Linked DNA regions of Caenorhabditis elegans. The protein of the gene in region 1 interacts with the protein of each later gene in a pairwise test. Each region holds a gene or a part of one and is shown in the gene's direction. Other genes may lie near its edges.

The links.
Region 2: the proteins of mrt-2 (region 1) and hus-1 interact in a two-hybrid assay, tested with the Caenorhabditis elegans proteins (5 studies listed by BioGRID).
Region 3: the proteins of mrt-2 (region 1) and hpr-9 interact in a two-hybrid assay, tested with the Caenorhabditis elegans proteins (3 studies listed by BioGRID).
Region 4: the proteins of mrt-2 (region 1) and pcn-1 interact in binary tests that used the Caenorhabditis elegans proteins (3 or more experiments, as listed by UniProt).

Annotation. Positions count from the first base shown.
Region 1 is NC_003281.10:11,743,443-11,752,254, forward strand, and holds mrt-2 (Cell cycle checkpoint protein RAD1 homolog mrt-2), read left to right. Parts: upstream 1-3,323; 5' UTR 3,324-3,520; intron 3,521-3,601; 5' UTR 3,602-3,606; coding exon 3,607-3,705; intron 3,706-3,776; coding exon 3,777-3,932; intron 3,933-3,991; coding exon 3,992-4,132; intron 4,133-4,180; coding exon 4,181-4,261; intron 4,262-5,443; coding exon 5,444-5,533; intron 5,534-5,679; coding exon 5,680-5,799; intron 5,800-6,417; coding exon 6,418-6,534; 3' UTR 6,535-6,733; downstream 6,734-8,812. Other genes in the region: gbf-1 (Golgi-specific brefeldin A-resistance guanine nucleotide exchange factor 1 homolog), read right to left, coding at 8,186-8,287, 8,564-8,671. UniProt on the Caenorhabditis elegans protein: May be a component of the 9-1-1 cell-cycle checkpoint response complex that plays a major role in DNA repair. Promotes DNA double strand break-induced cell cycle arrest and apoptosis, thereby playing a role in genome stability.
Region 2 is NC_003279.8:3,696,170-3,702,711, forward strand, and holds hus-1 (Checkpoint protein), read left to right. Parts: upstream 1-1,932; 5' UTR 1,933-1,942; coding exon 1,943-1,994; intron 1,995-2,050; coding exon 2,051-2,113; intron 2,114-2,158; coding exon 2,159-2,511; intron 2,512-2,585; coding exon 2,586-2,663; intron 2,664-2,715; coding exon 2,716-2,917; intron 2,918-2,967; coding exon 2,968-3,053; 3' UTR 3,054-3,131; downstream 3,132-6,542. Other genes in the region: msh-2 (DNA mismatch repair proteins mutS family domain-containing protein), read right to left, coding at 1-323, 370-823, 900-1,135, 1,183-1,366.
Region 3 is NC_003281.10:10,618,128-10,628,178, forward strand, and holds hpr-9 (Cell cycle checkpoint protein hpr-9), read left to right. Parts: upstream 1-3,423; 5' UTR 3,424-3,429; coding exon 3,430-3,541; intron 3,542-3,590; coding exon 3,591-3,661; intron 3,662-3,714; coding exon 3,715-3,840; intron 3,841-3,888; coding exon 3,889-4,003; intron 4,004-4,051; coding exon 4,052-4,157; intron 4,158-5,090; coding exon 5,091-5,496; intron 5,497-6,292; coding exon 6,293-6,348; intron 6,349-6,401; coding exon 6,402-6,584; intron 6,585-6,602; exon of another isoform or gene 6,603-6,690; intron 6,691-6,744; coding exon 6,745-6,816; intron 6,817-7,251; coding exon 7,252-7,459; intron 7,460-7,804; exon of another isoform or gene 7,805-7,920; coding exon 7,921-8,020; exon of another isoform or gene 8,021-8,021; coding exon of another isoform or gene 8,022-8,096; coding exon 8,097-8,107; coding exon of another isoform or gene 8,108-8,129; 3' UTR 8,130-8,271; downstream 8,272-10,051. Other genes in the region: lron-10 (eLRR (extracellular Leucine-Rich Repeat) ONly), read right to left, coding at 1-105, 834-1,168, 2,033-2,081; swt-4 (Sugar transporter SWEET), read right to left, coding at 8,022-8,129, 8,421-8,534, 8,724-8,891, 9,414-9,547, 9,604-9,690. UniProt on the Caenorhabditis elegans protein: May be a component of the 9-1-1 cell-cycle checkpoint response complex that plays a major role in DNA repair.
Region 4 is NC_003282.8:4,044,526-4,051,015, reverse strand, and holds pcn-1 (Proliferating cell nuclear antigen), read left to right. Parts: upstream 1-1,567; 5' UTR 1,568-1,580; coding exon 1,581-1,739; intron 1,740-1,786; coding exon 1,787-1,900; intron 1,901-2,374; coding exon 2,375-2,893; 3' UTR 2,894-3,079; downstream 3,080-6,490. Other genes in the region: wrt-5 (Warthog protein 5), read left to right, coding at 349-495, 562-671, 718-823; cdc-73 (Cell division cycle protein 73), read right to left, coding at 3,527-3,858, 4,710-4,997, 5,537-5,621, 6,024-6,288. UniProt on the Caenorhabditis elegans protein: This protein is an auxiliary protein of DNA polymerase delta and is involved in the control of eukaryotic DNA replication by increasing the polymerase's processibility during elongation of the leading strand.

The DNA of each region.
Region 1 (8,812 bases):
CTACGTAGATCAAACCGAAATGGGACACTCTGACTTGTTTTATGCTAGAATCCTGCAAAATCATGTGAAAATTTAGCTATTTTTAAAGAAAAATAGCCTAAAATGACCGATTTTCCGCAAAAAAAGGCTCAAGAACATTTTTAAGTACAGTAACCTTAAAGGCGCATACCCAAAATCGCTACTTCGGCACGTAAATCGACTGCAGTATCCATTTAAAGGATTACTGCAGTTTTCGCTACGAGACATTTTGCGCGTCAAGTATGTTGTGCAATACGCATTCTCAGAATTTCAAATTTTCTTGAATAAAAACCAAAAAAATCAATACAACAAAACCCAAAATCTGGTGTGTTGCTGGTAGTATTCTCTGAAGAGTAAACTGGCGGGATCTACTTTCACTAAAAGCTTTTTTCGTCCGAAATCCCAAATCCAATTACATTTACTCCTCATCCCCGCCAGCGCCACGTCACATCGCCTTAACTAAATTTTAATTTTAATTTGGAAATTTTCAAGTCTGATATCCGTGCCCCGGGTGCAAGAAAAGTACTTTTGTAGATTAATTCTGGCCACCCGGACCGGTCAAATTCAATGACGAGACTTGAGAGAGAGTGTGTGGGATTTGAGAGACGCAGAGAATAAGAACGAATGGGGGATAATTGTCCACCTCGAGAATTATTGTGTACGCGCGGAAAACTGGATATGTTTCTTTTTCAGGGGTTTTTTAAGAAGGATATTTGATGGGACAATGGAGAAAAATCGGGAAAAAGGGATTTACAACTGGAAAATTCAAATTTTGCGCGTCAAATCTGGTGCATTGAATTTTTCGCGCTCCATTGACAATCTCCTGCCGGAAAGGACATTTTCCACGTGGAGTACACGGAACGTGGCCTAGAAAACTTTTCTCGGGTTTTCACGGGGTTCTGGCCTTCCTCATTGCATTTTTTGTACTCCACGCGGACAAATGCATTTAGTTTTACAACTAAAATCGAGCCGCGACGCGACACGCAACGCGCCGTAAATCTATCCCAGATATGGCCGAGCCAAAATGGCCTAGTTCGGCAAACTCTTCCATTTCAATTTATGAGGGAAGCCAGAACTCCGTGTCTGCAGAACCTAAAGATTTTTAACTCAAAATTGTAGAAATTAGGCTAAAATTGCACTTCAAGCTGAAATTTAAAAAAGGAATGCACTAGATTTGACGCACAAACGTTAGAAAATTTGAATTTCTCGGGTAGTGCAAAGAATTGTTAAGTTGAAAAAAATGCATCAGATTTGACGCGCAAATCTTGAAATATTTGCTGACATTGAGTTTTCACAGTTTTTTTTTAAATAAATTAAAGTTTTGATTACTTTTGATTAAATTTTTCGAATATTTTGTCTGAAAGTTTCACGTGATGTCAGAGTGTCTCATTTCGGCTTGATCTACGTAGATCTACGAAAATGCGGGAGTTGAGACGCAGAGTTTTCAACTGATTTCGCATGGTTAAGAACGTGCTGACGTCACATTTTGTTGGGCAAAAAATGCCCGCGTTTTTGTAGATCAAACCGTAATGGGACAGCCTGGCACCACGTGAAATTCCAGAAAAAATGTCTGAACCTACTGTAGTTCACAATTTAAAGGCGCATACCAAAAAATTATAGCGGGAATTAAATTTTTATTTAATAATTTTTTCAGTTACAGAGCAATTAAAAAATTCAATTTCATCAAAATTTTATAGACCAATTTTCTCGCTTTATAGCTGAGCTCCGCGAGCCAAAATAGGAAGGGGAGCACGAAAAAAAAACAGAAAAATGAGCTCGACAGAGCCCATAGCCTCAAGCGCTAACGAACCAAAAAATGCACACACACACAGGAGGCGGAGTCGTGGAAATTTCGAAAAAAAAAACAAGATTTTCTTCTCTCTCGGCTCAAATTTGAATGCGGAGCAAGAATATTACGGGAACAAAAAATTCTGAGAATGCGTACTGCACAACATATTTGACGCGCAAAATATCTCGTTGCGAAAAGCAAACTACAGTGATTCTTTAAATGACATTTGTAGTGTCGATTTACGGGATCTCGATTTTCGAAATGAATTCATTTATCATTGATCGAGCCCGTAAATCGACACACGCACTACAGTAGTAATTTAAAGGGTTACTGTAGTTTTGTTTTCGCTACGAGATATTTTGTGCGTCAAATATGTTGCCCAATACGCATTCTCAGGATTTTTTGTTAGCGTAATAAAATAACAGAAAACACAGAAAAAGGCATGAAATTTAATTTGAAATACCGCGCTGAGTTTTCTAGGCCACGTGTCGTGTACTCCCCGTGGACAAGCGGTTTTTGCCTTATTTTTCTGAAGTACAAATTCTCAAGTACAAGTAAAAAAGTACAAATTTTACCAAATTTGAGGAAAAGAACTAGCATGACAAAAATAGAATTAGAAAAATTCTAGAGAAAAACTACGGATTTCTGGCTTCCCTCATAAAATGAAATGGAAGAGTTTGCCGAACTAGGCCATTTTGGCTCAGCCATATCTGGAGTAGATTTACGGCGCGTTCCGTGTCGCGGCTCGATTTTAGTTGTAAAACTAAATGAATTTGTCCGTGTGGAGTACACGACTTTACCACGCGTTGTCCGGCAGGCGATTGTCAATGGAGCGCGAAAAATTCAATGCACCAGATTTGACGCGCAAAATTTGAATTTTCAAGTTGTAAATCCCTTTTTTCTTCCCATTGTCCCATCAAATATCCTTCTTCAAAAAAACCCCTGCGTCTCTCAGGCCATATCTGCGGTAGATTTACGGCGCGTTGCGTGTCGCGTCGCGGCTCGATTTTAGTTGTCTGGCGGGCGATTATCAATGAAGCGCGAATAAATCAATGAGGAAGGCCAGAACCCCGTGAAGATCCAAGAAAAGTTTTCTAGGCCACGTTCCGTGTACTCCACGTGGAAAATGTCCTTTCCGGCAGGAGATTGTCAATGGAGCGCGAAAAATTCAATGCACCAGATTTGACCACGCGTCGTGTACTCCACGTGGAAAATGTGGACACTAGGGATCTACTAAATGCCTGGAAAATCGTAAAAATCTCGAAACTTCCTAAAGAAAAAAAAAGCAAATACACAAAAACGCATTGATGTATGAACAAATTGCCCTCCCCGTCTCCCACCAAAAACTCCCAAAAATTGCTCTTTTTTCATGTTTATATGGGGGACCGCGGGATTTCATAATAGCTCCGTGGTCCGCTCAGCTCATCCGGAGCCAAAAAGAGCACACACACACACGCACACATAAAAGTTGTAAACTAGTTTCGAGCAAAAATGATACGACGGATGAGTGTGTCACGCAATCAGTGAGCTTCTCTCGCTTTCGAAAGAAAAATCTTTTTCGCAAAAAGAAAAAGTACTTTACACTGGCCACAGTGTAAAATAAGGGTGAAAAGATCGAAAATCGGAGGTTTCAAATTTGAATTTCCGCGCAAATGAGAGGGACGAGGTGCGATGGCCTACAAAACTCCGCAGGTGTACTCCTCTCGGAAAACGGTGCGAGAATTAATTTTTTAATTTATATTTAATTTTCAGCGATTTTTCTCAGTTTTCCGGTTAAAATTTAAATTTTTTCAGGAAAAATGATGGAATTAGAAACGGGTCAATGCACAATTATGGAATTGAAAAAAGAAAATGTGAAGGAGCTCGCGCAGGTCTTCAAAACCGTCGCTTTTAAGGATGTTAGTGTTGGAAAATATCGATATTAATTTCATTTTTTTTGAGAAAAAATCTAAATTTTTCAATTTTCCAGACAGGAACGTGGCACGCTTCCGAGGCGGGCATGAAGATCACAGTCGACGATGGATCCTATCAGCTGGCCAGCGTTTTTATCAATCCGGCGTTCTTCTCGAGTTTTAAAGTTCGCGAGGAGATAGTTTCGATGAAAATCTCGATTAAATCGATTTCTGTGAGCCTTTAAAAGCCCATAAAAGCCCAAAAAAGTGGCAAAAAACAAAAAAATTCCAGGAATTCCTGAGCATTTCGGAAAACTCGTCGAGTTCTGTAAAAGTCTCGTATCCGGGAATGTTTCAGCCTGTGAAAATGCTTGTTGAAGACGCAGACGGATGGGTGGCACGTGGCAATTTTACAACAACGCTGGCAGATCAAGTTCGCCGGGTTTTCGAAATTCCTAGATTTTTTTTTGTCTATTTTTAGGAGCTCGACTTTGAATTCGATGACGCTGGTGTGCTGGCGACCTATCTGCTTAAAACTCAAGTTCTCAAGGAGATTATCAAGGTTTTATCATTGAAACCTTTAAACATTCGAAAAAAATTTATTAAACTCCAGACATTTTCCAAAAAAAATTTTTTTTTTTGGATTTTCGAAAAAAATGTTTTTTTTTTGAAATTAAATAAAAAACTTTTTTTTTTACTTTTTTAGTGAAAAAACAAAAAAAATCGGTTTCCCTTCAGAAAAATCGGTGTTTTTCGGTTTTTTTCATATTTTAAAACATTTTCTGAATTTTTTTTTTGACTTTTTGGAAAAAAATTTTTTTTTGGATTTTTTCAAAATGAAATAAAAAACTACTCGAATGTCGCAAAAACAAAAAAATTTCTTTTTGTTCTGACAGATTAACATTTTTTGGTTTTTTTCGACTCCAAAAAAAAATTTCTGAAAAAATTAGCTTTTTTGAAAAAAAAACCATTTTTTTTTAAATTTTTTAGTCGAAAAACGAAAAAAAAAATCGGTTTCCCTTCAGAAAATTATTGTTTTTGGGTTTTTTCCCACATTTTAAAACATTTTCTGAAAAAAAACTTTTTTTCGACTTTTTTGAAAAAAAATTTTTCGGTTTTTCCGATTTTCTAATTTTTCAACAAAAAAAGACGAAAAAAACCAGAAAATTCCGAATTTTAGAGCCAAAAACGAACATTTTCCGTTTTTCAATTTTGAAAAAAAAAACGTTTTATTTTTATTTTTCGATACTTTTTTGTCGAAAAACGAAAAAAAATGTTTTCCGTTCAGAAAAATCGGTGTTTTTTGGTCTGTTTTTCATATTTTAAAACATTTTCTGAAAAAAATTTTTTTTTCGAATTTTTCATTACTTTTCAAAAAAAAAATCCGTTTTTGATTGAAAAAACCTTGATATTTTTCCGATTTTCTAATTTTTCAAAATTAAAAAAAACCAAAAAAAAAATCCGAAAATTCCGACTTTTTGAGCTAAAAACGAAAATTTTCCGTTTTCAATTTTGGAAAAAAAATTTTACTTGAAAATTCGATTTTCGCTTAAAAAGTAGTTTTTATTGTTTCAATTTTTCGAAAATAAAAAAAAATCGATTAAATTGCAGAATTTCCAACCCAAACCCAAAAAAATCGACGTCCAATACTTATGATTTGACGCGCAAATTCTAAAATTCAAATAAAAATTCTTATTTTTGCATTAAAAAAATACGAATTTTTAATTTTTTTTCTCTATTTCAGGACTTCGATGACACAAGCCGAACGGTGAGAATTCAATTCACCAAGAATTCACTGTGTTTCACGACTTTCGGTGATGTTGGCGAGACTACAGTAGGATTTTTCAAATTGAAAATTAAATAAATTTTAGGAAATTAAAAAGAAAAAAATTTTAATTTTTTAACTCAAAAAAAAAAAAAAAAAATTGTTTTGAAAAAATATTTTTTAAAAAATTAAAACCAAATTTTTTATACTTTCAGGTATCAATACCGTCTCGAAGCCTTCAAATGGAAAGTGTAAAGTGCCTTGAAGAAGTTGAATTTAGCTATCTTCTGTCGCTTATTCAACGAATGACTACCGCCTTTATACTGGCTACAAAGGTAGTTTCTGGAAAGAAATTTAGCCTATCTGCTAGATTTTTCCTAGTTAAAGTTATCATGGTTCCAGGAAAAATTCATTAAAAATATGAAAAAATTGGGGGAAAAAAAAAATTTTTTTCGAAATTTTTTGAAAAAAATCTGAAAAAATTTGTGAAAATTATTTTCACTATAATTTTTAATTTAAAAAATTGAGCCGATTTTTTTAGAAAAATAAATTTATTTGTGAAAAAATTAATTTTCCTTTCGAAAAATATTTCGATTTTTGAAAATTTTTTTAAATTTGAAAAAAAAAATTTTCATTTTTTTTTCAAAAACAGAAAAAAATTTCGAAAAAAATAAATAAAATGTCTAAAGCATTTTTAACGATTTTTCCAATTTTGCAACAAAAAATATCAACATTTTTCCGTTTTTTTCCCCGAAAAAAAACCCCAAAAACTCCAAAATTGGCCAAAAAAATCGAAAAATAAATTAAAACGTTATGCTCCAAATCAAATTTTAGTTTCAAAAATCGAGAAAAAATTAGAAAAAATGTTTTTCTTCGAAATTTTTTTTTCAATTTTCTAAAAAAAAATGTCTCGAATTTTTTGATGCAAACTTTACAATTTAAGTTTTTTCCAGCTCATCCTCCGTGTCGACGAGCGTGGCGTCCTCTCCTGTCAATTTTCAATCGATCACGGCGAGGGAAACGCAAGCTACATTGAATTTCTGACGGTGCCCGCTGATGAAGAAGAATAAAATATTATATACATTTTTAATTTTTTTTTAATGTTCGATCCCCGAGTTTTGCAACAAGTGTACCCTCATCTCCCGGGTATAAAAACCCGAAAAACTGCACCGAAACGCACGCAAAAAAAATTAATATTTTCTTCTTTTTCGTGCTTCTTGCAATTCTCGCTGTTGATTTAAATTTTCAAATAAATATTGATTTTTATTACGAATATTGCATTTTGAAATGAGAAAAATTTTTAAAAATTGGGTTTTTTTTCAGTGAGTGTCTCGTCGAATAAAATGCTCGGTACGTAGTACACCGTCACGTCAAAATACACAGAATCGTGGATTTTTTTCAAAAAAAAAACAAGGATTTCTGGCTTCCCTCATAAATTGAAATGGAAGAGTTTTTGCCGAACTAAGCCATTTTGGCTCAGCCATATCTGGGGTAGATTTACGGCGCGTTGCGTGTCGCGTCGCGGCTCGATAGTAAAACTAAATGTATTTATCCGTGTGGAGTACACGACACTTTCCCATGCGTTGCCCGTCGGGCGATTGTCAATGGAGCGCAAAAAATGCAATGAGGAAGGCCAGAACCCCCTGAAAAATCGATGTGTTTTTAGGATTTCTTCAAATTCTAATTAATTTTTAGAGTTTTTTGCCGGCAATATTATGTGGAAAATGAATGCAAAACTTCTTGTAGCCCTAAAAATCCCCAAGTTTGTGTATTTTTAAAGAAAATTAAAGTCTCCTGCCGAAATTTTCAATAAATATTGATTTTTATTACGAATATTGGATTTTGCAGTGAGAAAATGGGGTTTTTTTTTTGCAAAAAGACTCCGTAATTGTTGGAAAAAAGACATATTACAGGAACACAAATTTCTGAGAATTGCGTACTACACAACATATTTGACGCGCAAAATATCTCGTAGCGAAAAGAAAACCACAGTAATTATTTAAATGATTACTGTAGGGCTTGTGCAGATTCACGGGCTCGTTATTCGGAATTAATTAAAATTATTTAGGGATCGATTAAGCAAAAAATTCCTTCGAAAATCAAGCTAGTAAATCGACGCTACAGTAGTCATTTAAAGAATTACTGTAGTTTTCGCTACGAGATATTTCGCGCGTAAAATATGTTGTGCAATACGCATTCTCAAAATTTTGTGTACCCGTAATACCTCAAATCGTTCATTTTCGCCTAATTTCTGCTTTTCTCAAAAAATTTGAATTTTCCGCTAATAGATTTCTTAGAAACTTTGAATTTTCCACCAGAATCCCGCTCTAAAATGTGGAAAAATCTTTTAAAAAACGTGGTTTTCATTACTCAAAAAAAAAAAATTTGAATCGAAAGAAAAATGAAATAAATAATAATAATAATAATAAAACTTTCTCGGGGTGGGGGTGGAGGGACTTGCACGCATAATAAATACAAGAAGCAGTAAATGGGGAAGGGGAGGAAATTTCAGGAAAAAAAAATTAAAAAAGGGGAACCATAGGACACACAAATCATTCTAACCCAAGTTATTCGACTATTTCTGTGCTGAAATTTCAAAATTTTCAGATTTTTTCGGGGGGATTTACTTATTTAATTTAAAAAAATGGATGGAGGGGGAATCGCGGAGAACATTCAATTATCACAATGCAAAAAAAAATTAGATTTTAATTTTTTTTTAAATTAAGGCTTCTCCTGTTGGCTCGGATTGTAGGGAATCGGGGTGAAATACGGAGAATCTGCTGACGTTGTTGTTGGAGCAGATGGAGCAAGAGCAGGAGCATTCTGAAAAAAAAAAATTGTTGAAAATTTTGTGTCAATTAGGCCAATTAGCTAATTTTTTAAATAAAATTGTGCAGTTTTGGGCCAAAAAATAAAATAAAGTAAATTTTGGCAAAAAAAATTGATGTTTCTTTGGAATTTCTCTCAATTTTTGGCTAAAAGTGTGAAATTTTTTGGCTTTTTGCCAATTTTTAGCTCAAAACTTCAATTTTTTCTTAAAATTTATCAATTTCGAGCTAAAAATCTCGCTTTTTCCAGTATTTTTCCACGAATTCTCACATTTTGTGGCGGAGTGTACACATGGGTGAATGCACTGTTCACTGATGGTGCAACAATCGGATGATAAGCTGGATGAGCCGGCAGTGGAAGAGGATTCGCCACCGAATACTGCAAAAAATTGGGGTTTTTGGTGGAATTTTTGGGGGTTTTTTGCAGGTGAAAATTGAAGATTTTGTCGAAAATTCAATTTTTCACTAGAATTTTTCAAAAAAAAAAAAAATTCAAAAAAAATTGGATTTTTGGCTTAAA
Region 2 (6,542 bases), on another chromosome or scaffold:
AGCTTCTGAAAGTTGAATCAATTGCATTTCGACAGTCTCGAGAAGAGTTGCAGCTTGGTAGAATCGATTGAGATCCTGAAGAGTGCATTTTCTCATGAGACGACGAGCTAGTTGAGAGCAATCTGGCATTCTTGCAAGAATGGAATCGCGGAGCTTCTGACGGATTGTCTGATTCTCGAACAAAGCTTCAACAATATCCAGTCGCTCGTTGATGTGATCGATCTGGCAAAGTGGACGAGAAAGCCAATCACGGAGCAACTTCTCTCCAGGAAGAGTCTTGCATTTGTTTAAAACATTGTAGAGCGTCAAATTATTCGATTTCTCTGAAATTAAATTATTTTCAAGGAAAATGTAACATTATAACTCTACCCAAATAATTATAATTCAATTGGAAAAGCTCCAGAGCCTCCACAGCACATGAATCAATCAGCATATTTCCATGAGTTCCGTAATTGAAAATACTATACTTCTCAGAAATACTGTATTCATCGGCTGCGTTCGAGTGTAGAATTTGAAGGCATTCCTTGATGTTTTCGTTTTGTTTTTCGGCTTCATCTTTATAATCCAGATGAACCGACTCGATTACATCGCTCCATTGTGACTTTGGCTTCAGCTGTTGCTTGTTGTGAACCTCCATTCTCGTGAACATGCTTGCTATTTTCTTAGCCTTCGGTGCAACTGATCCTTCATTCACTAGAATATATTCTGTGGGGCATAGTCCAAAAATGCATTGTTCCGTTTGAGAAAAAGAAGGAGTATCGATGTATTCACTGATCACAATGCGAACATTTCCAGCATCCCAAGCGCACAATGTTACTCGATTCTGAAATTGGGAATTAATTTAAAAATCTAAAAATCTATAAATCTCTAAATCTAAAAATCTATAAAAATCGTCATACATCATCATCTCCTGGATGAATATAGATTGCAAGAATCGGAGCCTGATCTGACACTCCAATTTCTTGCTCAAAATCCACAGTATTTCCTGGAGATCCACGCTTCGTCATTTTCCACTCTCCCTGTTCACTCGAGTATAGCTCAACGGAGCATCTGAGCAGTACGATGGTTTCACGAACGACCTTCTCGTATTGTCCACGATTTACGGAAATGTACTTCATTTGTTGAGAATTGTCGGCTGAAATTTCACATTTACAGATTTTATTTTGATTTTTCGAGTCTTACTTGATAAAGTGAACGTTTTGACGCAAACATCACTCTTGAAAATGTTAGTAGCGACAAAGGTGGCGTCATCGCCATACACAGAAAAGTATTCGCCTCGTGAGAAAATGGCAATTGTGTTCGGTGATTTAGATTTTAGGATTTTTAGGAGCGCTTTGTCGCTGGCTTCGTCTTTTCCTCCACTCATTTTCGATTTTTTCGCTGAAAAATTCGAATTTTTGTGATAATATAGAGTAAAAGTGAAGAAAAAAGAGTTCATCAACGAAAAATGATTCGACAGAAAGGCCGCTTACTTTTGAAAAGAAATTAAAGGTGCATACAGTATTTCTGTAAAATGGTCCTGCAGGGAAATAGTGTCTCATTGTTTTGGGATTTTTAGCATTTCTAAATTGAATTTAAATGATTAAAAATTAAACAAAGAATATAATCAAATTATTTAAAAGTTCTGTAATAATTTAGATTTTAATAAAAAGAAGGCGAAAATCACATGTTATGCTTACTGTTAAAGATTAAAGGCACATACAATAATACGGTGAATTGGTTTCGCAGGGAAAGAGATACGGTGGTTTTTATTTTTAAACTAATTTTTGTTTCATTTTTCCTTGCAATTTTAACTCTAAACATAATTATTTTAAAAAATTTCGAAAAATATCAAAAGTAAAGTCTTTTTTCAAATTTCTTCCATCGCGCGCGATTTTCCCTTTTTCATTCTCCGTCTCCTTCTCTTTCTAACTAATTTTCACTATTTTCTAGGTTTCAAACAATGAAGTTCAGTTCTCTTCTCCAAGATACTGCGGCAATCGACGTGTTTATCAGTGAGCAGACTGATTATTAAAAAATCTATGAAATATCTGAAAAAATTGTCTTTCAGAAATTTTGACATCAGTGAGCAAATTGAGTAAGAAAAGATGCTGCGTCAAAATAGAAAAGAATGGTTTTAAAAATCCTGTTTTATTAATAAAATTCTATGAACTTTCAGCTCTCAACTTTATTTGCTGTTCAGGACTCCATGATGGTGGAAGTTGGTTCAGTTTATCAATTCCCTATAGCAGTCAAATTTTCCGAAAATTCGATATGGTTGGCATGAATCCACGAAACGAAGAGCAAAATTTGATTTATTTTGAATTGGAAATCGATAGTTTAGTACGTGTTCTGCCCGGCGGACACTGTTATCTGAAACTGAAACTATCGAAAAGTCAAAAAGATGAGCCAATGTTGTCTGTCGAAGTTAGAAATCCAGAAGCCGATATTGTTTCTCATCAAATTCCAATCACAATTATTCTATCAAAATATTGGAATTCGTACTCCAGGCCGTCAATTGGACACAGAAAAGTAAACGATTTTATGATGATAATTATAACTTTACATTAATTTTTTTAATCTCTATTGAAAAAATATATTTACAGATGTCAATCAGCATGCCACCTCCTAAAATGATGTCCCGTTTCTTACACGTCTTCAAAAATATGAACACTCGAGTTGTGGTAATAATATATACACAAATAAAGTCCTGAAATATAAGTTAATTTCATCCAGAAGCTCACAGCCAGTACATCAGGAGATTTGAGGATTTCTACGAAAATTGAAACTGGCGAGATTGATGTAAGCTTCTCGGATCTTCAAACTAATCCATCGGAAACCGATAGTCAAGAGGATACTGCAAAAGTTCAATTAATGATTCGAAATATTTCTCCATTGTTTCAAAGTTTCGCCAACACTCGGACACGTGCCAAAATGAGTAGGATCGGAAATATTTTGATAATTTTTAACAAAAAAAAAATTTTCCAGATATCATCTCAAATCGAATGGCAGAATTCAATTTTCACAATGAGGATTGCGTTCTTTCGTATATTGTTGGAAATGTTTCGGATTAGAAATAATGTTTTTTGTCGTTGTTTGAATGCCTAATTTTCTAGATCTCATAAATTCTGCAAATAAATTTTTTATTTCTTAAAATATATATCCATTTATCAACTGGCTTATTGGCTTTGATTTTCAAAGCATCTTAATTTAAATTAAGTTTAAAATCAGAATATCAAGTTTTTCAAGCGAATTTTTAAACATTTATTTTTTGATAAACTGTATAAAATTCCAAAAAAAAGATAAGCTTGAAAAAACTTTTATTTTGATAGCCGAAGTTCAAGAGGAAGTTGAAAAATAAATTTTTTTTCTAAAATTGCTGGAACTCAGGCAACTCAAATCTAATATGAAAATATTAAATAGCAATATTTTTGTAGTTGGGTGATATTTCAAGATAAAATCGCAATATTCCGAGACTTATTCGAAATCTTTTTAGATTGAGCAATATTTTGAGGTTGATTCGCAATATTTCTGAATCTGAAAATATTACGAAAAATTCGTAATATTTTGAGATGACATAGCAATCTTTTGAGATTGGTTCGCAATCTTTCTGAAATCTAAAAATATTACAAAAAAATGTGTAATATTCTAAGATTAATTTGCAATCTTTTTGCAGTCCATAAAGATTACAAAACATCATTTCCAAATTCCCATCGGCTTCACATGATCGTGATATATATACAACAATTATGATTACTGTTCCGTTCTAAATTCTCTTTTCTTCCAAATGATGAAAGACTTTTCAAAGTAAAAAACAGCTACATGAAAATCTATATAATGGAGTATCTCACTGTTAACGGATATTTGATTTTTCGTTGCATATTGTAGAAGGAGTTTTTGCAGAGAAAGCCACAGAATTCACAAATCTGTCCACTCATGTAATTTTTTCTAGATAATTGGCCGGTCATATTATAAATTCAGTCAAACAATCACGAAGATTGGTCGAATATATTAAAGTAGACTTACAACTATTCATTCACGCGTGATGCGTTTGAGATTTTCTGATTTCAATTGAAATCATAAAATATTGTCAACAGCAAGCATGTTCCCAGTATACTCATCATTTTAATCAAATTGTTAGCGAAATAAAATATTGAAAAAATAAAATGTTATTCTCTCTTTGACAAAAATTCGGAAAAATTGCAATTCTAACATTTTTAAAAGCATAACAAATAAATCGTTTTTCCACATTCGCTTTCAAAGAAAGTTATCCAATTTCGCTCTGACACTTAGAAAATTTGCGAAAAGTCACTGATTTCCCATCAAAAGTAACGAAAAGGACGTGCGCCCATCAACTATTTACTTAAGCAATAACTAAATCTAGATGCGACACGTACAGGATGGCTCAACAGGTAAGATAATGGTTCATAGACTCAACGACAAGCGACGGACAAGTTCAACTCCCCTCAATGCACAGGTGATTCGCCACGGACGCATAATGCCTCAAGACCCATTATGCGCGTGTTTGCGAACGAGGACCTCACATTATGTGCGTTTTTGCGAAGCGTTCGCAGAAACGAGCATAATGCCTCGCCGATGGGCACAATGCGAACGCTCGCAATGTGCGCATTTTGTTTGGCCGTTATTCCCATCATTAAAGTGCTCATTTCAGTTAGTTTAAAGCTATTTTTGTTTGAGTTCTCTGTTTATTGACTGTTTTTTTGCTGATACTAAAGTTTCTGAAAAACAAAACTCTCGATTTAGAAGGAACTTGTCAGATTTCGAAAATCATAAGGCTTATGATATAAAATTTTTGATGAAATTTTTTTGTTTTGAAAATTTTTTCGAAAACATGTTGAACGTGTAGAAAATGATCAGTTTGATATTTTCTACAAGTGTGAGATTTCACAATGAATGTTCAGCCAAAAAATCATGGAAAGTCTAGAGTTGGGTCATTGAAACATAGTATGTTTGAGAGCTCCTAACATCCTTGAGACGTAAAATACAAAATTTTCTTCAACTGAAAAGTTGTCAGAAATGAACTGAACAACAAGTTATTAGTTGGCAATATGTTTCTATCTTGCATGTTCGAGAAGATGGGCGCAGTTGAGAAAGAGCAAAACAGCACTGACTTCGACAAGCCATATTTTGGCACATTACACATATAGGAAACATTTTTTTATTTTTAAAACATTCTCCATAACTAGTTAAACAAATTTGTTGTTGATCGTTTTATGATATCTTTTATGCCCAAGGAAACTCACGGCTTCAAAAACTTATACTATTTTTCGAATGCTTCAAGAAATAGTCATTTTCTCAGCTAAAAACGTTCTACCCAATGTTTAAATTGACAAAAAATAAAGTAGATATAATTTACTACGATATCTGATAATTTAGAAGCAAGTTTTCAAAAAAATTTTTTTTTGGATGTTTGAAATTCATAAGGGTCTCCCCTTATGATCCGCATTGAAAATCAGAAGGGTCCCCCCTTATGAAAATTTTCAAAAATTTTTACGAAATTGTTTTTTGAAAACTTTTCAAAATACGATCAGATCTTTCAGAAAAATGCGATGTCGGTTGTTTTTTTTCAGTTTGAACGTTCAGAACACGATTTCAGACGAACACCTGAGGCTTAGTAGAACCTCTAAGTTCAAAAAAGGCATTCACTTCGAATGCTTATATCTCCGTGGAAAAAATTATTATGACAAAGTGATTAACTACAAAGTTGTTTATCTCGAGTTAAAGTACAACTTTGTAGTTAATTGTTTTTTATCAAAAAATTTGGTGGTTGAGATATACAGAGAGAAAGAGAAAGAAAATACAAGCATGAAGTTGCGGCACTTCTCACAACTTTATCTCAACCACCAATTTTTTTGATAAAAAATGATCAACTACAAAGTTGTATTTTTAATTAAGATAAATAACTTTGTAGTTGATCACTTTGCCATAAAAAATTTTTCCAGTAAGATATAAGCATACAAAGTGAATGCGATTTTTAAACATAAGAGTTCTACTATACCTCCGGTTTTTGTCTAAGCTTGTGTGCTGAATATCCAAACTCAAAAAAACAACAAACATTGCAATTTTGTATAACATCTAATTAAAATTTGAGAAGTTTTCAGAAAAAAATTTCGAAAAAATTTTTGAAAATTTTCATAAGGAGGGACCCTTTCGATTTTTTTTTTCGAAAAAAGCTTTAAAATTTTTTTTCAAAAAGTATCAAATATTTATGAGATATTGTAGAAATATCTTTACTTTGTTGTTTCTAAGCATTTTCTTGCAAAATTCGATGCTTTCGATGAGTCAAAACGGAATTCTTTGGGACACTGAACAATAAAACCTCCTGTCTTAAAACGGTTGTATCATTTTCTAGAAACGAGATATCAAAAAGTAATTAACTACAGCCTTTTAAAGCTTAAAGCAATAAACATTTTGATAGTTGTAATCATTTTTTCATCTCTATCGAGAACCGAGATATAGCTGAGCACAGATCTAGAATATTTTGGTCATCTTTTGGGGCTCACATCTCCACAGTCACTAAAGATAACAAAAAGATACCAACT
Region 3 (10,051 bases), 1.1 Mb from region 1:
CGTCTCCTCAGCTTGCCATTCTTTGGCTTTTCGGTTGACAAGATCCTTGAATTGAGCCCACATTTCTTTGAGTTTTGTCAGTGTACGGCACTTCCAGTCACAGTTCTGAAAAAGGTTAAGGTATTGGATCTTTGATATGAAAAATTGTGATATTTTCCGAGAGGAGCACACAATTTTAATACTATTTTTATTATTAAAAAAAAATAATTTTCAGCCAAGAAAACTTGTTTAAGGTATTTCAAATTTTCAGGGAAAACTCCAATTTTAGCTTATAAAAATTTAAATTTGTCGGAAAAATTTATTTTTGAGAAAACGTTAGAATTTTCAGGTGAAAAATTCAATTTTAGGTTAAAAAAATCATGTTTTGTTGAAAACTTTCAAATTTTCGGTAAAATGTAAAGGAAAAATTGCAAATTTTAAGTAGAAAATTCAAGTTTCTGGAAAAAAATCCAATTTTTAATTTTTTAGGAAAATGTAAATATTTTAAACCAATTTGCACTTTAGTAACTATTCCGAGTGTCATTTATTGAAAATTCTGGAAAAATTCGATTTTTCGCGTTTTTCGTTTTTTTTAATCGTTTTTATATTATACCGCAAAAAATAATGTTGTGCCATGAAAAATCGGTTCTTCAATTTTTTTTTTGAAAATATCGAAAAATCAAAATTTTTCGTATAATTTTGTACATTTTTTTGTTGATTTTTCGGAAGAAAATGTCTTATTTTCCCTGATTTCCCATAATTAGAAAAAAAAACCAAAAATCGAAAATTTTCGCTTTTCTCTGAAATTTGGTAGTACTGTTATTTTTTCTATTTTTCAAATCTTTTTCGCGAACCTTATCAAGATTATCACACTGCAACGGCTTCTCATTATCACAATCCGACAAAACTGGAATATCCTTGTGCAAATGCACCAAATCGGAGCAATTCAACCGAGTATTTCCCTGCACATCAATTCCCTGAAGATCTGGGAATGATGCTTTGATCATGCTAATCGCCGGAATTGTGTCAATGTCATTGCAAGTGAGTGCCAGGAAATGGAAACCGCGAAGTGGTGATGAATGGGGCAATGGGAAACGATTGAGACCAACGCCATCACATCTGATCACTGGATCATGTTCTGACAATTCACACGTACATCCGTCCAGGCATGGAACTGATCGGCAGGCAACTGAACATTTTGGAATTTTAGATTTATTTTAACTAGAATGTATTAATTGTTTTATGTGTTTATTTCGTTAATAGGCACTAATCAGAAAATAAAGACGGAGAAGAATTTTTGCTTTAAATGCTAGAAAATATACTTTTTAAATAATTTTCTAAATGTTTTCAGTTTTTTTAAATTAATTTTTCAACTACTAGATGTTCTTTTTTAATTCGGCAGTATTCATTCATTTTTCGGAAGCAAATTCCATTCCATTGATTGACTTTTACAATTGTTCATTCAATTTTTTACATGACTCACATGAATTCACTATGATGAGTAATTCAAAAAACAATCCAAACTAGATTCTAGATTCCCAGAGTTCACTTTTTAATGTATCATCTCTCAATTCACGATGATGTGTCATAAAATAGCCGCTATGTTTGTATAGAGACTCCGTTCGTGTAATGTTGCGTAATTAAAAATCGTATATACGCATACATAGACGGTGATGATTAAGATTACAGGTTCTTAGCTTGTAAAATTGAAAAAATGACGTGTTGTAATTAAATACAACTTTAAAAATGCCTATGAAGATCCAAATTGAAATCGCGAAATTTGAATACGATTCAGAAATTAGTGGCTTTTAAAATCATGTTTTAGGATAGAGAGTTTCGGCTTCAAGAATAAGTTGTATAATGTTAATGAATTAAAAATGAAATACCTAGTAAAAAGTTACAGCAAATAATTTCCCGCAAAATTACTTGAAGATGGTCTCTTTTCTATGATATTTTTTGTGAGAAATTTTTGTATAGTTATGCATGTGATATTGTTGTATAAATTGGATTTGCTTTTTCGATGTATTAATTTTTTTTAAACTATGTATATTACCTGCCACAAAGAGGAGAAGAAGAAGAAATGCAGATGTGATGGAGGTCATGCCTAAACGAAACAAAAATGAAATATATATCCAGAAGGAGTGTATTGGAAAAGCAAACAGAGACCCAAAGAGTGGACATGGCACATTCAAACAAACAATGGAACAAAATGATTGTTGGGCATTTTGGATGAGAGAGTGATTCATATCAATAGAGACGCAGATGTGAAAGGAGAAGGGGTGGTTTAATCGATTTGGATGGGGGTCCGGTTAGTTTACAACCACAGTTTACAGCGTAGAGGTACTTGAAGTGGAATGCCATTTTTTTTTATGTTAATGGGATTTTAAGGTATTTAATTTGAAAATTTTGAATGGTCAAAAGCAGGGGTAAAAAATTCCGGCAAATCGGCAAACCGGCAAATTGCCAATTTGCCTAAAATTTTCGTCAAATTGTGGTTTTGCACATTTTTTTTTGGAAATTTCAGAATTTCAATTTTATCGGCAAGATTGTACGCATCCTATGAATGTTCCTACATCTATTTTGAAAATTAAGGAAATTCTATGAAAATATCTATAGAAAACGGGAAAACATTTCAAAAAGGCAGTTTTAAGTGCTTCCGACTTATAAAATAATCCCTTTAAAAACTTCCGGAAAATTGATATCCGGCAAATCAGCAGTTTGCCGATTTGCCGAATTTGTCGACAAAACAATTTGCCGAACGGCAACCCACCCCTGCAGGGCCCTGCTCAAAAGTACTACGATTAAATTATATAAAATCGACTTTAATTACCGAATTTAGGAATAATGATTTCGATTTAAAATACCCAAATTAGTCTGAAATTCAGAAATTCCACAACTTGAGTAAGCCTAAAACCTGAAATCTAAAAAATTTTTCCACGAAATTTGAGATTTTTGATGCTCCAGGAAACCTTTAGCCTGAGGAATAAAGAATATTTATTGCGTTTTTTTTGGAAAAGCGGGGTAGAAGAAGAAGAAGAAGAAGCGGATATGTGTGAGCAATGAAGAGGAAAAAAGCACATGACACCGAATAGTTTGGAACAAAACTCCATTTATCATGTCCAGCGTACCTCCTGACGGATAAAAAGAACGATATATGACGCATCGCTGGTTTTTCTTTTCGTCTTTTCATGTTCTGCACGGGATACCGGTTCTCTTGTGGAAACACGAGAATGCATGCGCCGCGGGAAAGAAGGGAAAATGTCAGAAATCACAAAACAAATCAAAATAAAAAATAAAAAATCGTTCGAGAGGAGTCCGCAGCGCATGGCCTAGCGACGGGGGATTCTCGTCCGTGTACTTCGAGAGGAAAACTTTTTTATTCAAAATTTTATTCTGAATTTCAATTTTTCTCTTTAAAAACCTTGAAATTTCAGGGAAATCTCAAATCAAATGCAAGCCATTCATGAAAATTATACAGATAATCCATCGTCATCAATAACAAGGGAAAGGCAGCATGAAGATATGAAAGGCGCCCAATTTGTGGTCCAATCCAATCTTAAAAGTGACTTTTTCTGGGTTTTAGCCGGATTATTTATTTATTTTTCTTTCAGTTATGTCAAGATCCATCGCAGCGCTGAGCAAAATCTCTGAAGACGTGTTAATTGAGGTTTCCGAAGGCGGGGTGAGTCAAAAGTCAAATTTCGGCTAAAAAATTATTTTTTTGTTTTTTTCCAGCTCTTCTTCAAAACAGTGAACCGTTCAAAGTTCTGCGTGTTCCGCTTTGCACCAGAATTTTTCAACGCTTGCGATGTATCAATGATTAACAAAAAAGCAGTGAATATTTGCAGATTATCGATGAAAGTGGGGAGAAATCTCAGAAATTTCGGCAAAAATTTAATTTTTTTTCAGTCAGCTCAGCGTATTTTCAAGGGCGTCGCGTTCGGGGAGAAGAACTTTGTTGGATGTGAATTTCGAATCGATCCGAAGGCTGAACGGATGATGGTGAAGCTTCAGATGAATTATGGCAAGAAAATTAGCTGCAGAATATTCGAAAAATTGGCTGAATTTTCAGATATTGAGCGAACAATTCACGCAAAGCTTCGAGAAATGGGATCAATGCTTCATAAGCCAACATATAATCGTTCTGGATGTAGAAATATCACTGTCGTTTTTGCATCGTTAGTAAAAAAAAATGAAAAGTCGCGAAAAAAGTTCTGAAAAATCTGGAAAAACTCGAAAATTGCGGATTTTTCCAATTTAAAATCAGAATTTATCGGAGAAAACTCAAAAAATAGAGTTAAAAACCAAAAAAGTCAGAAAAAAACATTTCTTCTTTCAAATACATAATTAGTTTTGCTCTGTTTCCATGAAAAATTGTTTTTATTTCAAAAAAATCTACGGAAATGGAAAAAAATTCGCTGAAATCATGGCTTTTGGTCCTTTTTTTAGAAACCGAAAATTTTTCGATTTTTCAAAAAAAATTAGGCATTTCCTTAATTTTTCTGGTTTTTTTTAAAGAAAAAGTATTCGTTTTGCTATCAAAATCAACATTATTCCAATTTTTCGATTTTTTTTCCGAAAAAAACAGAAAATTCGAAAAAAATTGATTTTTTCTGGTTTTTCCGGAGAATCATAATATTGAAAAAAAAATGTTCAAAAAATCAACAAAATAATCAATTTTTAATGGAAAAATAAGGAAAAAGGCCAACATTTTAAGCTATTTTCGAAAAATCGGTAAAACAAAAAAAAACGAAAAATTACCGATTATTCAAAAAATCTAACAATGTTCGATAAAAAATGTTTTTTTTTGTTTAATTTTTGAAATTGAAAAAAAAAATGCTCAGAAATTCTAGAAAGTTAACAAGAAATTATTTAAATTTGTTCAAAAATAATAAAAAAAATTTCCAAAATTTCAAGATATTTTATTCAAAAACTCTATTTTTTTCCCCAAAAAATCTGAAAAAAAACGAAAAATTACCGATATTTCGATTTAAATTAAAAATCGAAAAACCGACACCCTTCATTAGAACGAAAAATATTTCCTGTCTAAAAAATGTTTTAAAAAATTAGAAAAATTCAAAAAAAAAATCGAGAAAAAATCCATATTTCAGAACGCTTCTCCCAATCTTCGTTCAAATGAAAGGTGACATTGAAGTAACAATGAAAGTAACAGATGATGGTCTAACAATTCGAAATTTCCATTCATTGGACGGTGTTACAATGTTCAACATGGGAGTTGAAAAAGGCGCCAAAAAAGTAAAAACTGAGACAACAATCACTTGCGAGAAGCTCACCCGGCACAAAATTCAGATTCCCGTCGAATTTTCTTTTTCGATTAAGGAATTTTTATCGATTGTCACATTTGCCGATCAGTTGGGATCAGAAGTTTGCATGTATTATGATCTACCAGGAAAACCGTTGATTGTATCAATTGAAGCTCATCCTAATTTTGATATTGAGCTGGCGTTGGCTACGATGGGAAGTGACGATGAAATTGACTTAGATGGAGGCATTTTGGTAAGGAAATAGAATAGAGATTTTATCAGAAAAAATCGGAAAAAATTGATAAGAAAATTCAATTTTTAAATCTAATTTTGTTTATATTGATGAGAAAAAAAAAACATTAAATTGTCTTATAAAATCAAAATGTTTTCTGACTTAGAAAAATCGAAAAACCAAAATTTTTCGATTTTCCGAAAAAAAATCTTTCTCAAATTTTATAGAAAAAGAAAAGAAAACAGATTAGTGAGCAATCGAAAAATTATTTTTTTTCCTGAAATTTTCACATATATTTTTTGTTTTTTTTAAATATAAAAATATTTTTTAAAAAAGTTTTTACTTGAAAAAATGCCTAAAATACTAGCTTTTAATCCTTTTTTTTTTGGAAAGGCAAAACATTTAGAAATATTTTTTTATTTTTGAAAAAAATAAAAAATTTTTAATTTTTCAGTTTTTTCAGATTTTTCTGAAAGAAAAAATATTCATGTTGCCATAAAAATCAACTTTTATTCCATTTTTCGATTTTCTCCAAAAAAAAACATCGCAAATTCAAAAACGGCACCACTTTTTTGTTGAAAATTTATTTTTCAAAAAAAAAATGGTTTTTTGATTTTCCGGAAAATCATTCAAAAAAAAAGGAAAATCTCGTGTAAAACTACGGATTTCGGGCATTTTATCCAAAAAAAAAAGTCACTGGAAAATCCTCTTTTGAAAAAAAATCTCACTTCTCCTCGAGGAGTACACGGTCTGCGTAAATCGACACATGGCCAGTGGAGCACATTTGCATCTTTCTGTTCAAAATTATATTTTGCAGAAAGAAACTATGGCGCAGCATGAAGAGGAGGAAGATAAATCTACTGCTCATTCATCGTGAGAAATTTTTTTTTTGAAAAAATTATTTTTTCTACGAAAACTCATTCCAGAAGCTCCCGCCGAAAATCAAAAGCAATTGACACTTCAAGTTCAGGAACTCAAAAATCAAAAAAATGCTCCGAATCACTGTCACAAGAAGAAACTACTCGCTCGCAATCCCTTCCCAGCAGAAACCGCTTCGTTCCAGAAATTCCAGTCGCCGAGCAATCTTGGAGAGATCGTGAAGTGACTGTGTAAGTATAAAACCCGCAAAAAAAATTCGGTGCCTCATGCTGGAATCGAACCAGCGACCTTCTGTTTACTAGACAGACGCTCTGCCACTGAGCCAATGAGGCGCGTCATTTCTGTCTCCGTGAAGGCCGTTAGATGTCTCTTGACAATCTTTGTTTGCAGGTATGAACAACGAGAACCGTCTCCTGATCTACAAATTGTTGAAGAAGTTATGGAAATCGATAATCAACCGATGTAAGGCTGTGGAAAATACAAAAATTGAATTTTTCAAAAAAAAAATCCGATTTCTTTTTGATAAAAAGACAAATTTTGAATTTTTCCAAGAAAAAAACAAAAATAGATTTTTTTTTTTGATAAAAAAAGACAAAAATTGGATTTTTTAATTAAAAAAATTAGGTTTTATCCTAAATAAACAAAATCTGTTTTTTTAACGAAAAATATTTTTTATACAAAAAATGACATTAAAAAATATATAATTTATGTTTTTAAGTTTTTTTTTAGAGGAAAAAATTACGAAAATTTAAAAAAAAAGAGGTTTCATATCAAATATTAAACGAAAATAAATTAAAATATTTCGGCCGTTTTTAAATTTTTGCTAAATTGAAAAAATTTAGAAATTTTCAACCAAAGATTTTCGATTTTTTTTCAGAAAAAAAAACCAAGTTTCAGAGTCACCAGAACAATAAAAGAAGAGCATTCCGTAGAACAAGCAATGCAAGATGTCAGTATTGAAACAATTCCTGTAGAGACCCCCGAAGAAAATATAATTCCCGTAGAAGTAGAAATGCTAGAAGAACCTGAACAAGAAGATCAAGAAATATTCAAAATTCCCCAGCCGAAAAGAAGAAAAACCGCCGAAGATGACAGAAATAGAAAGGTAGAAAGTGTTTGTTAGGCTCCGCCCACTTTTTGGCTCCAAAAATACTTTTTTTTTAAATGAGTTATGAGTTCTTCTGATTATTTCGTAAAAAACCATTGAAATTCGAAAAAAAATTACGTAAAAGGCGGAGCTTAATTCTTGTCGGAAAGTTGGAGGGTTTGTTAGGCTCCGCCCATTTCTTGGTTTCAATAAAATTCTGATTTTTTTTTGAAAATGTTAAAGCTTTACATTATTTAATATCATTTCTCTATTTTTTTTTTCAAAATTCAGTTCGTTTTTCCAAAAGTTTTCCAAAAAAAAGAGGATGTTTTGGTACAATTTTCTACAAAAAAAACTGAAATATAGGAAAATATAAATAATTTATTAAAGGCACATCAAAAACCCAACAAAAGAGATCTCTATACACACACGCACAAAAACATTCACAGAATGCCAAAAAAAATCGATATTTCTTGCAGATTCGTCGAATTCTAATGGGAACTGAAACGACGTCTAAAATGAGAATGAGCCAACAATTCGACAAGCGGCTTGGTCCATTGGTTTCGGATACTCAATATGGTTAGATATGCTCATATTTCTGCGGTAGAACACCTGCCGGAGCACCCGGATAAATGATAAATAGTGAAAGTTGCAGAATCGAGATGACCGTTGCGATGACGTTTGGCACCTGCAAGGATAACGGGTTTTTGTTGGAAATGATAATTTGTTTGTTTTTGAAAGTTCAATTATTTTTAAAGCTCGTGTGTAATAATTTTTTTAGTTCATGAAAAAAATGTTTTTAAACACTTTTAAAATGAAAACGATACATCATTTTTCGACTTCGACAGGGTTCTCTGAAATTCAAAAAAAGTGTAAAATTAGCCATTTTAGCATAAATTTTACATTTTCCAAAAAAACACATTTTTCGAAAACTACAGTTTTGTATTTTTCGACAAAAAAAAAAGAATAACCCAATTACCAATATCACAATATCGTCAACGATATATCCATAAAACATCCATTGAAGACACACGACGAAACACGCGACACATAACGGCAACGGAAGAGATTCACTGGATTTGTTACGGACCACCTGAAAAAAGTTTGGAATGAAAATTTCAAGTGTCTAATTTGGGTTTGATCTTCGAGAATTGCGGGAATTTGGCTTAAACCAACAATTCCCGCATTTATTGTAGATCAAAGCGTGATGGAACAGCCTGGCACCACGTACGCAAAAGAATACCGTATTACCTCTATCAGTGTCCCAAAAAAAATCAATTACCTTTCCAATATCGAATAACGGCGCCGCCACACTGCAAATATTCAGAAAAATGCAATAATTGCCGACATATGTCGTTTTTGTGAGATGACTATTTGTTGAATGAGCCACCCAATAGACGACGATTCCGATGATTCCAAGTTCAATACTGATCACTTTATTCAGGAAACGCTGAAAATGATGTTTATAATTCAGATTTGCTTGCAAAAGTGGCGGCTTTTCGAAATGTTTATTCGAAAAACGGGAGAAAAAATTCAATTTTCGATTTTTTCTAATATTTCTAATTTTTCATTTTTTTCAAATTAAACTTTCTCCCAAAAATCAAAATTACCAGAGAATGCGTATTGGGCAACATATTTGACGCGCAAAATATTTCGCAGCGAAAACTACAGTAATTTTTTAAAATGACTACTGTAGCGCTTGTGTCGATTTACGAGCTCAACTTTCGAAACCAATAACTAAAATAATTGATTTATCGATAGAATATTAAAATTAGGCAACAAAAAAATAAATATTGCTGTCACTATAAGAAATTCATTTCAAACAATCGAGCCCGTAAATCGACACAAACACTACAGTATTCATTTAAAGAATTACTGTAGTTTTCGCTACGAGATATTTATTTTGCGCGTCAAATATAGTGTGCAATACGCATACTCAGGTTTTAGTGTTCCCGTAATAATTCTAACTTACCCGATTTCTTGTCATGTAGTAAAAGTACATAAGATAACACGCCTGAAGAAAACAGCCGATTCCGTTGCAATAAGTGATGACGTCATCATCTTTTAGAAGACCGTATTGAATGAATAATCCACATGACAAGAATGCTGAAATTTTGGAAATTCGAAATTTCAGCTTTTTTGTGGGAAATGGAACAACTTACACAAAAGAAATGGGGCGGGGCTTGTTCCTTCCGACGAGCCACGTGTCTTGATGCGATGGCAAATTTGGAGGCCGCACAGGAAGAAAGCTGGAAGAGTTTTTCCTGATTTAAGTTGTTTCGCCGTCAAAAAATCCTAAATTACGCGCAATGGGTCCCACCACGAACAATAGTTTTTCACCTACCGTACTCGCAAGTACGAAAAAAAGTTTTAAATGAACTGAACTTTTCTTCGATATTTAAATTTTTTGTGAAATTTTTAATTAAATATTTTTTAAAAAGGCATAGGCAATTAGAGATGAATCGCGAATCTACCGTACTAGGGGGTACGGTAGACAAAACGTTTCAGTCGTGCCAGGACATTGATTCACTTGTGGCCTAGGAAACACGATGGCCGAGTTTTTGTTTTTTCTAGGCCACCGAAAAATAATAACCTGTATTTAAAAAAATT
Region 4 (6,490 bases), on another chromosome or scaffold:
CCGTGCAAACACCGACTACAGTAACCCAAAGCACTGGATTTGACGCCAAATTGCACGAAATGTCGCAAAATGGCTCCAAAATGCGAAAATCTTACCGTTTCTAATTGATTTTTTGATATTTCATCAAATTATTGTCGAACGTTTTGAAAAACGATTTATTCTTAGCTATTTAGCCCATTTTTTAATTAATTTTGCTTACTGTAGCCCCGTTTTTGTGAAAACACCGGCTACCGTACCCCAAAACACTAGATCTTGCCACAAAATGCACAAAAAGACGAATTTAGGGTGAAAAATCGTGCAAATCCTAGTAAAAATCATGAAATTTATCATTTTCTCAATTTTTTCCAGGAATGCCCGGAACGAGCGACTTCAACGACATGCTCCACCAATTCCTCGTGGGTCGGGGGAGTAACTCAACATTCTGACGGAAGTCTGCGGCTTATGTGTTGTGAATATGACCTTCTTCCCACATATTCAACGATTCAGTATGAGAAAGTAGGGATTTTTGGCGGGAAATTTGAAAAAATTGGGGGAATTTTTCATGAAAATCCAAATTTCCAGCTTACTATCCGCACTGGCGAGTATTTCGAGGGCGATGAGCAAATGGAAGGGGATGTTGTGACGGCTTTTGACCTGATTGGCAATATTGAGCAAGTCAAAGAGCCCGATGGGTAGGTTTTTCTCGATTATTTCAAAAATTTTGCTCGGTTTTTGCAGAAAATACTCCTACAATCTCCTCATCTACCGCTATCATTGCGGAAATATTCCCGACACACCGCCGGCATGGTACATGAAGAAACAGTGGCCGTATTGGGAAAAATGAACGATTTTTCGGCGGGAATAATTTATTTTTTTATGTTTTTCTATGCGTTTTCGGGTGTTTTCGGGTTGCTAAGCGATTGGTTGCCTTTTTGAATCACTAGTCTTGGTTTTTGTTGTTTCTGTGAATGAATAATTGGTTTTTCGAGGTTTTTTTGTCAAACATGCCTAAAAAATAAATTATGACGTTTTAGTTGATTTGTTTGTTCTTTAAACGTCTGAAAATAAGGTTTAAATCTAATTTATTAATTATAAAATTCGTCAAAATAAGTTGCGCGTCAAATTATATGTATTGTACGCAGTGTCAAACTCCAGGCCTCAGTTTTCATGAATTTACCAGCGATTTTTGTTATAAATTTTTTTATTGAAATTTAAAATTTTTATTTTTCAACCAATTTGCCTCGAAAATTCGTTATTTCCCCATTAAAAACCGCTTTTCTAAAGTGTTGCGCGTCAAATAAAATGCCTGGTACGCAATGCACGGAGAATGCGCAAAGGACGACTGCTGGCGCACTTTTTGAATGCGGTAAATTGAGGCGCGAAGTTTCATTCGAAAACGCGCGCGAAACTTCATTCATCGCACTTTCTCCGTTCATTTCGTCCTATTTTTTTGTGGTTTTTCGCGATTTTTTCGCTTTTCTGAGTGAAAAAATAATTTTCCTTCGTTTTTTCAATGAAAATCCGCGGAAAACCCATTTTTTCCCGTGAAAATCCGCATTTTTCGCTGTATTTCATAATTTTTATTCAGATCTCCCGTCAAAATGTTTGAGGCCAAGCTCGCCAACGCCGGACTCCTTAAGAAGATCGTCGAATCGATCAAGGATCTCGTCACCGATGCTCCATTCGATTGCTCCGAGACGGCGATGAGCCTTCAGGCTATGGACTCGTCTCACGTCGCGTTGGTTTCGCTCAAGTTGGAGGTAAAATTGGGAAAAATGAAGAAAATTAGCTAATTTTCCGTGTTCAGGTCGGCCTTTTCGACACATATCGCTGCGATCGGACCATCAACCTCGGACTTTCGTTGGCTAATATGTCGAAGGCGCTCAAGTGCGCCAACAACGACGATACCTGCATGCTGAAGGTGATTGTAAAAGCTTTAAATCGAAGAAATCAGCATTTTTCACCTTGAATTGTGGATTTTCATGCGAAAAATCGCTTCATTCGGACTTTTTCGCCCGAAAAATCCGAAAATGTGGTTTTTCGGTAGTCAAAAGTGGCAAAATCAGTTTTTTTTTTCGCACTAAAAATCATTGAAAATTAATATTTTTAGAGACTTTTAGGCCGAAATAGTCTGAATTAATCATTTTTCGTTCTAAAAATTATTAGAAATTCACATTTTTGGCGGAAATCAGCATTTTTCACCCGAAAAATCACTGGAAACTCAAATTGTTATCGATTTTTATGCCAAAATAGTCCGAGTTTTCCATTTTATGCCTTAAAAATCATTAGAAAACAACATTTCCGCCTGAAAAATCATTGAAAATTCAAATTTTTTATCGATTTTTCCCCGAAAAATTCCAATTTTAAGCCCAAAAATTACCAATTTTCATTGCAGTATGAGGAAAACGAAGGCGACTCGATCATCTTCACATTCGCCGATCCAAAGCGTGACAAGACCCAAGACGTGACAGTCAAAATGATGGACATTGACAGCGAACATCTCGGGATCCCGGATCAAGACTACGCCGTCGTTTGTGAGATGCCTGCCGGCGAGTTCCAGAAGACTTGCAAGGATCTGTCGACGTTCTCCGACTCGTTGAACATCACCGCCACCAAGGCTGGCATCGTGTTCACCGGAAAGGGAGACATCGGATCTTCTGTCGTCACCTACTCCCCATCTTCCAACACTGACGATGAGACTGAGGCTGTAACACTGGAGGTCAAGGATCCGGTTAATGTGAACTTCTCGATCAAGTACATGAATCAGTTCACCAAGGCGACGGCACTTTCCGACAGAGTTCGTCTCTCTCTGTGCAACGATGTTCCGGTCGTTGTCGAGTATCCGATCGAGGAGAATGGATATCTTCGCTTCTACTTGGCTCCAAAGATTGACGACGACGAGAATATGGACTAAATTTCCCCTCAATTTCCGTTAAATTACTCATGATCTCTCCCTCTCTCCCGCTAATTTTCACCTAATTTTTTGGTATATTTCTAATACTTGTGCTATACCTCTAATTTTTTTCTCACTTTCTGCTTTCTGAATCGCACTACTCCCCGAACTCTTTTGAAGAATTTTGACAAATGAATTTAACTTGGGAATTCAAAGTGTCTAGTTTTGAGCCAGTAATCATGAAAAAAAAAAAAGCCGCGAAGCGACCGCTCCGCGTGGCCAATGGAGCAATATTTCGAAAATCCTAGAAGGCAATTTTGGCCAAAAAACGAAACAATGTTTAACTGGAAAATTTGAATTTTTCTCCAAAATATTACCTTGAAAATTCACGAATTAAAAAATTTGTTGCCGCGACGCGACCGCGCCGCCTGGCTGACGAAAACTGACGAAAATTGGGCAATTTTCCGCTTGAAAATCGAATTTTCTCCACTCCAAAAATGACGATTTCGCCACGTGGAAAATGATTTTTTCGCTAAAAATTTGAATTTTCGATTAAAAATTGTTTGAAGAAAAATGGCATTTTTAATAAAATCAAAAGTGATGAATAAATAAATTTGCAAAAAATGAAGAAAAAAAGAAAATTTCCGAGAATTTTCAGAGTCCAAGACGGGCGGTGAGATGTGGCTTGTTCTTGCGTACAAAATTCTCGATTGTCTCCCAAACTTGACTGAATCGAGCCTTATCCATGTGCCGTTTCGTCGCCGAGACTGGAATCTTGTGTACATTCCACTGCATCACTTGAGCCACCGGCTTATCCTGGTCGACGTGGAAATGGAATGCAGGAATGTGGGTGAAGATGTCCGTCGGATTTCCATTCCATTTCCAGCCTTTGAATTGCCACGCGACACCCATTACGAAGACGGCGATCACACGATCCCAATCATCATTGGCAAGCTTCTCGGCATTGTCGATTACGCGGATATTGTCTGAATCAATTTCAAATTTTAGGTTAAAATGGAGTTTTTGTTTTTTTTTCGAATTTTTAGCTTAAAATCGGTTAAAAATCCCAAAAAATACCATTTTTGCAGCGAATATTGCCTGAAACGTCTAGTTTTTTCGAAATGTTTGGTTAAAATTGAGTATTTTCGAAAGGTTAGGTGAAGATTTCAGTTTTTTTCTCGAAATTTCAGGGTTTTACGCTTTTTGCTCAAATTTCCAAACAAATTTTGAAAAATTGCGTATTTTTCCAATTTTTTAGCTTAAAATTATTTTAAATCACTTTAAAAAGGACTTTTTCGAGAAAAATCGAATTTTCAAGTCTATTTTCAAGTTTTGTGTAATTTGTCGTAAATTTCGGTGTTTTGGGTTACTGTAGTCTGTGGTCGCACAGATATGGGGCTACAGTACCCAAAATCGTCTCATTTTTCAAGTTTTTAAGTCAACATTTTCCATTTTTGCGCAAAAACCGGTGGATTTTACGATTTTCATTATTTTTGGGTTAAAATATTCGAATTTTCGCGTAAACAATCGTAAATTTCAGGCAAAACGCAAGTTTTCGAGAAGGATTTGACCATTTTCAGAATTTTGTCGTAAATTCAGATGTGTTGGGTTACTGTAGTCGGTGATTGCACAGAAATGGGGCTACAGTACTCAAAACCGTCATTTTTCGGGGTTTTTTTCGTCGAAATGTTTAATTTTCAGCATTTTTGGCTCAAGAATTTCAAATTTTTCCAATAAATTCAGATTTTCAAGCACAAATCTTAGTTTTTCTCATTTTTTGGGTCAAAATTTCCAAATTTTCGCGTGAAAAATCGCATTTCCAGCCAAAAAAACGCACAAGTAACACCATTTTTCTGCCGTTGAATAGCCAAATCGACAGGCTTCTTATTCGTCTCTTTTCGTCGCTGATCAACAGGAACATAGCTGAAATTCTGCAGAATATCTCGAACATTGTACAAATTTATCATCGTATTCATTGCCGACGGAACGATGATGATCGGGGAGCGAGACGTCCGTTTTGAGCCATTTTGAGCTGCTGATGAGCCTGATGACGTGGCAGTTGATGACGTCAGAAGCTGGATGGGCTTGGCGAGTGGAGGACGGCCTGGGGGAGCGTCGGGTGCTTCTGGAAAATTGAAAATTTTGTGAAAAATTGGCGTTTTTTACATTTTTTAGTAGAAATTTCAGAAAAAAAACCCAGATTTTAGGTCAAATTTTATGAATTCTGTGCAATTTGTCGTCAAATCCGACGTTTTGGGTTACTGTAGTCGGTGTTTGCACAGAGATAGAGCTACAGTACCCAAAATCGTCATTTTTCATGAAATTCTCCATTTTGAAGCAAAATTTCTGAATTTTTGTGTTAAAAATCACATTTTCCGGCACAAATTGGTTTTTCACAGGTTTTTAGTGAAAATTTCATAAATTTTCCGAATTTTCAGCTTTCCAGATCAACTTTAATGAAAAAAAAAAGCATTTTTTACGAGTTTTTTCAGTCAAAATTGGTGAGAATATTACAAAAACCCGGATTTTAAGTCAATTTATGAAGTTTTCCAATTTTGTTTCGAAATGTGGGAATTTTTCGGTGTTTTTCGAATTTAGGGTCAAATTTTATAAAATTTCTGATTTTTTTGAATTTAAAATTGCAATTTCTCGGATTTTACGAACTTTGTACCGCATGATGTCCCTGCTTGATACTGCTGAAATTACTTCCAATAAAAGAGCCTTCCGTTTGAATTTCCTTGGTTTTTTCCTGAAAAAATTGAATTTTAGTAGATTTTTGGACATAATTTCACTGAAATTCGAATCTTTTCTCAATTTTTCATTTATTTGGATCAAAATTTTCGAATTTTTGCGTGAAAAATCGCATTTTTACGTCAGTTTTTGAGTTTTGTGCAATTTGTCGTGAATTCCAGTGTTTTGGGTTACTGTAGTTGTTGTTTGCACAGAAACGGGGCTACAGTATCCGAATTCGTCATTTTTAGCGGGTTTTTGGTGAAAATGTTGAATTTTTAGGAAAAAATTGCCGGTTTTCACGAATTTCATAATTTTTGGATCAAATTTTCCGAATTTTTGCGTGAAAAATAGCAGAAAGATCGATTTTTCACCAATTTTTCTCAAATTTTCACATAGTTTGGGGAGGGGGCTCCCTTACATGAGCAAAAGCTTCCTGAGCATATCTAGAATAACCGGAACGTTGCTGTTGTCCACCAGCGGCTCCAGACTGATCTTTCGAGAGATTCGTAGCATGAACAGCCGCCACTTTTTCCTTTTTCTCGTTTAAATCCCATTGCCGTTGGGCTGAAGTGATAATATCGAGCACATTTGACAAATCTCGAGCTCCCAACATGACATTTTCACGGGTTTTGTGGATTCGAGTCTTCGGAAGTGAGGCTGACGTCAGTGTGGATAGGGATTCACTGAAAAATTGAAATTTCTTGATCAGAAAATCAGGTTTTTGAGGAAATGTTGTCCTAGAAAATCGGGGTTTTCGGATTTTTTTTGCATAAAAATTCTATATTTTTCAGGCTTTTTTTAAAAGAAAAATTGGCCGATTTTTGGAAACTTTTCGGTGAAAATTTAGAAAATTACGAGATTTTCAAACTAAAAATCGACTTTTCG